Oryctolagus cuniculus: one gene and its partner. The protein of the gene in region 1 binds, or shares a complex with, the protein of each later gene. Links are inferred from orthologs where the notes say so. Each region holds a gene or a part of one and is shown on either strand. Other genes may lie near its edges.

Region 1 (3,158 bases):
CACCGCCCTCCTGCCAGGGGGCTCCAGCTGGGGAGGGGGAAGGGTCCGGAACCAACAAAACGCCCTGGGCCAGGTGGCGTCAAGGCCTCTAGCAGGGAACAGAGAGGAGATCCAGGGGCAGCCCCCAGGGAGCCGCAAGGGCTTGGGGGTCTCCCAGAGGCTGGAAGGAGCCCTGCTCTCAGGTCTCTCCTCCTCTCACAGCCCCCTCTGCCAGGAAGCTCTCCAATGATGACCCTGCAGGGAATCCCGTTCCCTGGTCATGCCCAGGTTCAAGTTTAGGTCCAGAGCACGTGCGTGTCCAGGGGGCAGCTCCTGTGCCAGTGCCGTCCTTGGCTCCTGCACCCATCCTTGGGGAGGTCAGGGGCCTGCGTGGGGCTGGGGCCTCCACCTGAACCGGCAGGTACAGCCTTTCCCGCGCTCTGCCCGCAGTGCTGGGCAGGGGACAGGGTGGCGGGCAGGAACAGGACCAGACAAGGGGGGATGACAGACAACCCACGGACTCAGAGTTACAAATCCTCCTTTAGTGGGAGGGAACAGTCTCAATAATTTATCACCCAGGGCACCCCCAGGAGACCCTTTCCCCAGGAGCCCTTGCGGGCTCTAGGGAGGGGGCTGTGTCTGGGCAGGGTGGGGGCGGGGGAGGTGCACGACACGATCAGTCCCAGGCACGCTCAGCACACATTCAGGACGCGGGGAGACCGGCGGCCGCCCCTTTCCGGCGGCTGGGGCTGCGGCTGGGGCTCCCCTGAGAAGGCACCATGGCAGTGAAGGTTTGGCACAGTGGTTGCGTGTCAGGGGTCGACAAAGGACACCATGATATAGCGGGTGCCCCGAGTGGTGGGCAGCCCCTCGTGGTAGTGGGTGAGGCGGCCGGGGTGCAGGAGCCCCCAGCCCTTCCGCGGGGCCGAGATCACGCAGTCGTAGCGCAGGAAGCGGCAGCCGCCACCCTGGTGGGGGGAGTGAGAAAGGAGCAGGCGAGGGGGCTGAGCACACACCTGAGCTGTGGGGGTGGTGCCACACGGGGGGGGGGGGGCATCTGCGGGAAGGGGGCAGGAAGGCACGGGGTGGGGGTGGCAGGAGCTCCAGGTAAGGGTCCCCCCCACCAGGGCATAGGGCATGCACATGGGGAGGAAGGCACGGGGTGGGGGTGGCAGGAGCCCTGGGTAAGGGTCCCCCTGTCCCGGGCGTGCACGTGGGAGGAAGGCACGGGGTGGGGAGGTGGCAGGAGCCCTGGGTAAGGGTCCCCCCGCCCCAGGGCATGCACGTGGGTGTGTGCTGACGGGGGAGGGGCTCACCTCATAGTCCAGGCCCTTGTGGTTAAGGGCCACGTTGAGGGTGAAGGTGGAGGAGTCGTGATGTGGCCGCAGAGAGGGCTGCTCGTCCGGCCGATAGCGAACCACGAAGTTCATCACCGCCCGGGCCTGCAGGTGCAGAGAGCAGAGGATGGGGGGAGGGGCTGCTGGGGAGAGCACAGCACCCCCCCACACACACACACACCTCGAGACCCCCAAGGTCTCACTGCTAACTGGCGCCGCGGCTAAGCCACGATGCACCCCGGGTCTCGGCCTGCCTACTTCTGGCCCGGTCCCTGTCCCCGCTCCCCGTCTCATTCCTGGGACCTGGATTCCACAGAACCTTAGACACGGGAGCTGATGGGGCTCTGGGTGGCCACTGGCAGGCTGGGGCAGAGGTGGCGGTGGCAGGGGCGGTGAGGGCAGCCGCAGCGGCCTACCTTGGTGTGGTAGCCCGGAAACAGGCTCTCGGTCATGGGGCCCACGTAGGTCCTCAGCAGCTGCAGCCACTGGTCCTCGTAGCCCACCTGCTTCATGTGGATGTCCACGGTGGGCACATTCTCGTAGCCTCCGGCCAGCCTTGAATCCTGGGGGCAGTGGACGCTGAGCCGGGGCCCCTCCGCGCCCCGCCCGGGCCAGGCCCCCTCCCCCATGCTCCCAAGTCTTCACACGCTTGCTCTCCGTGCCTGGAGCACTCCTTCCCTACTTCCTGATTTCACAGCTCCCATGAAGCCCTCCTGTCCCCCCAGGCAGGGACAAGGGCTGCCCGTCCCAGCCTCTGGAAGCTGGGCAGCTGCTGCTCGGGACAGGAGGGCAGAGCCTGCCCTGCCTGGCGCCTCGCTGCACCTGCACGTCCTGGCCAACGGCCCAGTGACGTTTCCTCGATGCAGGCGTACTGCCTGGGGCTCACTTCCCCGTGTGTCCCCCCCATCCATTCCATCGCCCCCGGTCTCAGCGTCCCCTCCTCCCGGGAGGCCTGGACCCTCACCTCATGCCGGCCTCCTGACCACTGGCCGTAGTGCTCCATCTCTTCCACCAGCTCGTCACACATCTGCTCTGACAGCAGCGGGAACCAGTAGACATCCGGGCACGGCTGGGGTGGGGCGGGGAAAGGAGGAGCAGCGCTGGGGTGGGTGCTCACAGAGCAAAGGCAGAGGGGGAGAGGGAGGAGAGGCTGGGGCAGAGCAGGGCGGCCTGCGGGTCCGGGAGCCCCAGGTTCCCACCCCTCCACAACAGGCACCTCTTTTTGACATCCTAGTTTCACCCATAAACCGATCGCTACGCCCCGGACACAGAGGAGGTCGCGCGGGCTGGAGCCCCGTCGGCTCGACTGCTGCCACAGGACTCACCTGCTCCACCATCCCGTCCCCTTCCAGGGCCCTGCTATAGTTCTCGTGGATGTACTGCTCCTTCCAGTCCTGGGGGGGCAGGATGGGGTGACACAGAGGATGGGGGGGACCCTGAGATGCGGCCCAGGCAGCCCCCGCCGCCTCCTCGGCTGCCGGCCCCCACTCACCACAGGGTTGTCGAAGATCTGCCACAGGTCGGGGTGCAGGTGGTCCGTGTCGTAGCGGGACGTGGCCAGGAGGCGGCCAAACTCATGCCGGTTGCTGAGGTGCAGGAAGATGCCCTGGGTGGGGGCGGGGCGGCGAGCACGCGTGAGAAGGGCGCTGGCCACGGCAGCGGGCGGCCGGCCCCCGGCACCCGCCCGCCAGCCCTCACCTGGTCACGCAGGCTCTTACAGAAGGCCATGTCCGGGTCGGTGTCGCTGCTCGAGAACACCTCTCTCTGGGGCAGCTCGGTCCGCAGGGTCTCCCCGCGGATCACGTAGGCCTGGGCTATGTAGGGCACATTCCACACGCCCCT
Region 2 (3,500 bases), on another chromosome or scaffold:
GCTCCTCTCCTCGGGCGCTGTCGGCTCGTTGGCGCCGCCTGCAGGGCTCTTCCCCAGCTGCATCTCATTTCCTCCCCTTCCCAGGGCTCACGTCTGGACACTCTGCAGTCCCCCTCCTGGGGTGTTTTGGGGGAGCCCACGCCAGGACAGCCCCCTCCTCGTTCACTCATTGGACGCCCCTCCCGCTGGACCAACAAGGCAGAGGGGGCTCTGGGATCGCCCCAGTTACGTGGGGGGACGTTTATGGGGTGTGCGGGGACCTGGAACCCCGTGCAGCCCGCGGTGAGGGGTGGGGAGGGGGCTTTGGCAGCCACGCAGACCACAGAGTTTGGTTAAAACCAACCCGAAACATTTAATAAAAAAATAAGCAAGTTATCCAGGTCTGCCCAGCACACCGAGGTCTCCCGGAGCGGGTGGAGGCCGGGTCGTCGGCTCCGGGCTGGGCCCCCCGAGCACGCGGCCGCGGCAGAGGCCAGCACGGAGGCACCGCGCCAAGCAGGCAGGGGCCGCACCTGAGACCAGGGCGGGGCAAGGGAGACCCGGCCTCCCGCCCCACCCCGGGCCCCCTCTGGCGCGGGCCCGCGGCTGCCCCCTGCAGTGGAACAAGGACCCTCGGAGGGCACACAGCTCAGCTCGGGAGGGGAGGGGGGCCCGTGAAGCCTGGCACACAGGGGGAGCCCAGGACATCCGGGGAGCCACCGCGCCCCTTTCCCCAACCCAGCACTGGGCGTGTGGCCCGGCGAGCAGGTGCCGACACCGGGGACACTGGCTCCCGCCTCTGTGTCCCCGCGGCTCGCGGCAGTGCGGGTGCGCGACAGGCACCTTGCTGTGCTCCAGCCCGAGCGCCTCGCTCAGATCCGGCACACAGCAGGCGCTCAACCCATGCGCGAGTGTGCTGAGCGCGCCGTGGGTGCTCGAAGGCTTCAGGAAGTGAACGTAACCGCCCAGAGGCCGGCAGGGCGCCTAGCGGGGCAGCCACTCGCAAACCCGGGGCGTGAGGTCATTCAAGCAAAGCGCTCGGCCCGGGGCCAGCGCTGCGCCCCTCCATGGAGTCCCGGTACACACAGGCGCCTAATGATTGCAGCTTGGCCCCGCCCAGCCCCCCATGCCAAGCCCTGTCCCTCCCTGGTACACAGTAGGCACTCCATTCATGCTGCTTGCGTGCAAGTGACTGCGTGGAGAGCCGTGTGTGGCCCGGCCCGGGGGACAGCAGGTGGCCCCAGCGGACGCCCCGGGGGGCAGCAGGTGGCCCCAGCAGACGCGGACGCGGACGCCCCGGCCGGCGCCCTCAGAGCTCGTCCCGGGCGGCGCTGTCCAGCGGGGACTGCAGCACGTCCGAGTTCTTGGCCTCGCGGCTCAGCGCCTGCTGCTCCCGCATCTTCTGGGACTTGGCGCGGTCCCAGTCGGTCTTCACGCGCTCGTCGTTCCACACCACCGAGGTCTCCGTGTCGCTCACGTAGCCGTCGTCCCCCGTGTAGTGCGTGGGGTACACGAGCAGCGGCTCCACGGAGAAGGCGCGCAGGTCGCGGCGCGAGAAGTGGGCCTTGTACTCGGACCTGGGGGGAGGGGCGGCAGTGAGGAGGGGGCGGGGACTGGGAGGGGCGGCAGTGAGGCGGGGGCGGGGACTGGGAGGGGCGGCAGTGAGGCGGGGGCGGGGACTGGGAGGGGCGGCAGTGAGGCGGGGCGGGGCAGTGAGTCAGGGCGGGGTAATGAGTTGGGGGCGGGGACAGGGCAGAGGCGGCAGTGAGGCGGGGGCGGGGACAGGGGAGGGGCGGCAGTGAGGCGGGGCGGGGCAGTGAGTCAGGGCGGGGTAATGAGTTGGGGGCGGGGACAGGGCAGAGGCGGCAGTGAGGCGGAGGTGGGGCAGTGATTGGGGGTCAGGGACGCAGGAAGGGCGGTTGTGCAGGAGGGGAGGGGCGGAGTCACAGGTAGGGAGAGGGGCGGGGCAGTGAGTGGGGGCGGGGACACAGGGGGCAGCCACTGTGCAGGCGCAGCAGCACTCGGGGAGGCAGAAGGGGCGGCCCCGACGTGGGCGGGGCCGGCACGGGAGGAGGCAGAGACGCCCAGGACCCGGCCCGGCCCGCCCAGCCCCGCGAGCCCCTCACACTGGGTGCTTGTCGAACATGACGGGCAGGAACTCGTCCACGGGCAGCATCTTGGAGAGCGGCTGGGCGGCCAGCAGCTTGCGGGCGCCTTGCAGGGAGATGACGTAGGCGAGGGTCCAGTAGGAGTAGTCGGCCTCCACCAGGTTCCTCACGCGGGGCACGGCCTTCTCGGGCTGCTCCACCTGCATCCGCTTCCGGCCCACGTAGCTGCGGCGCAGGAACGGGGACGTGAGCCCAGGCCCTGGGGTGGGTGCCGCCTCGGCCGGAGCGGGAGCCACACGGGGCCGGTCTACAGCCAGGCCCCACCCCCACACTCAGGCCACGCCCACAGGCTGCCAGCTCCAATCTCCCCCACATCCCAGCTCCAGGAGCCGCAGTCGGGCCTGCAGGCTGCACTCCAGGTCTCCGGATTCCCCTGTCACCCTTGCAGGGCACCAGCCCACAGGCCATGCCCCTGACGGTGCTCACAGGCCCAGGGACCCCGTGAGCCCTCTGCCCGGCTCCTGAGAGTTTGTGATGATGCGCTAGGTCACGGCTGTGTCCCGGCCACGCCCCCATGTCTGACCACACCCCCAGAGGCGGGGCTCATGCTCAAGCCCCAGACCAAGCCTCTTGACCAGGCCACGCCCCCAGGTCCCACCATTGGCCATGGCCACACCCCTAGGTCCCTATTCTTTGCTCCAGCAAAACTCCAGGCCCTCCTGTCTGGGCCACACTTCCAGGTCCTATCTTGGCCCCAGCCATACATACCCTAGGTCCTACCCCTTGGACCTGACCACGCCCCCAGGTCCCACTTCTTGACTCTGATCATGCCTCTTGGCCCTGACCAAGCCCCCAAAGTTCCACTTCATAGTCCAGGCCATGTCCCCGGCCACGCCCCAGGTCCCTCCTCCTGGCCCCAGCCACACCTCCAGGCCCAGGTCACGCCCAGGGTAATGCCTCCTGGCCCCGGCCACGCCCCAGCCATGCCCCAGGTCCCTCCTCCTGGCCCGGGTCACGCCCCAGGCCCCGCCTCCTTCCTGGCCCCAGCCCACAGGTCCTGTCTTTGCTCCAGCAATACCCCAGCCACGCTTCAGGTTCCTCCTCCTGGCCTGGGTCACTCCCCAGGTCCCGCCTCCTTCCTGGCCCCAGCCACACCCCAGGTCCCTCCTCCTGGCTCGGGTCACGCCCCAAGTCCCACTTCCCGGTCCAGGCCACACTAACAGGTCCTATCTTGGCTCCAGCCACGCCCCAGGTCCCTCCTCCTGGCTCGGGTCACGCCCCAAGTCCCACTTCCCGGTCCAGGCCACACTAACAGGTCCTATCTTGGCTCCAGCCACGCCCCAGGTCCCTCCTCCTGGCCTGGGTCACTCCCCAGGTCCCGCCTCCTTCCTGGCCCCAGCCACACCTCCAGGC

What was found. Proteins that work in one complex are often made in the same cells at the same time.
Region 2: the proteins of PLOD3 (region 1) and COLGALT1 are in contact, whole or in part, in a cryo-EM structure (PDB 8ZGE), measured with the Homo sapiens proteins. The link is inferred for Oryctolagus cuniculus from reciprocal best matches to the Homo sapiens genes PLOD3 and COLGALT1. Residues at the interface, in NP_001075.1 of Homo sapiens: Leu226, Val229, Val230, Leu231, Lys232, Phe233, Asp234, Arg235, Arg241, Gln261, Tyr264, Leu265, Pro275, Gly430, Ala431, Leu432, Arg440, Glu442, Glu446, Arg452; in NP_078932.2 of Homo sapiens: Ala36, Tyr37, Phe38, Pro39, Glu40, Glu41, Arg42, Trp43.

What each region holds. Positions count from the first base shown.
Region 1 is NC_091450.1:43,400,223-43,403,380, forward strand, and holds the end of PLOD3 (multifunctional procollagen lysine hydroxylase and glycosyltransferase LH3), read right to left. Parts: intron 3,157-3,158; coding exon 3,015-3,156; intron 2,923-3,014; coding exon 2,809-2,922; intron 2,711-2,808; coding exon 2,642-2,710; intron 2,386-2,641; coding exon 2,281-2,385; intron 1,880-2,280; coding exon 1,733-1,879; intron 1,422-1,732; coding exon 1,296-1,421; intron 948-1,295; coding exon 792-947; 3' UTR 501-791; downstream 1-500. UniProt on the Homo sapiens protein: Multifunctional enzyme that catalyzes a series of essential post-translational modifications on Lys residues in procollagen. Plays a redundant role in catalyzing the formation of hydroxylysine residues in -Xaa-Lys-Gly- sequences in collagens.
Region 2 is NC_091447.1:65,369,619-65,373,118, reverse strand, and holds the end of COLGALT1 (procollagen galactosyltransferase 1), read right to left. Parts: intron 2,313-3,500; coding exon 2,106-2,312; intron 1,557-2,105; coding exon 1,289-1,556; 3' UTR 328-1,288; downstream 1-327. UniProt on the Homo sapiens protein: Beta-galactosyltransferase that transfers beta-galactose to hydroxylysine residues of type I collagen. By acting on collagen glycosylation, facilitates the formation of collagen triple helix. Also involved in the biosynthesis of collagen type IV.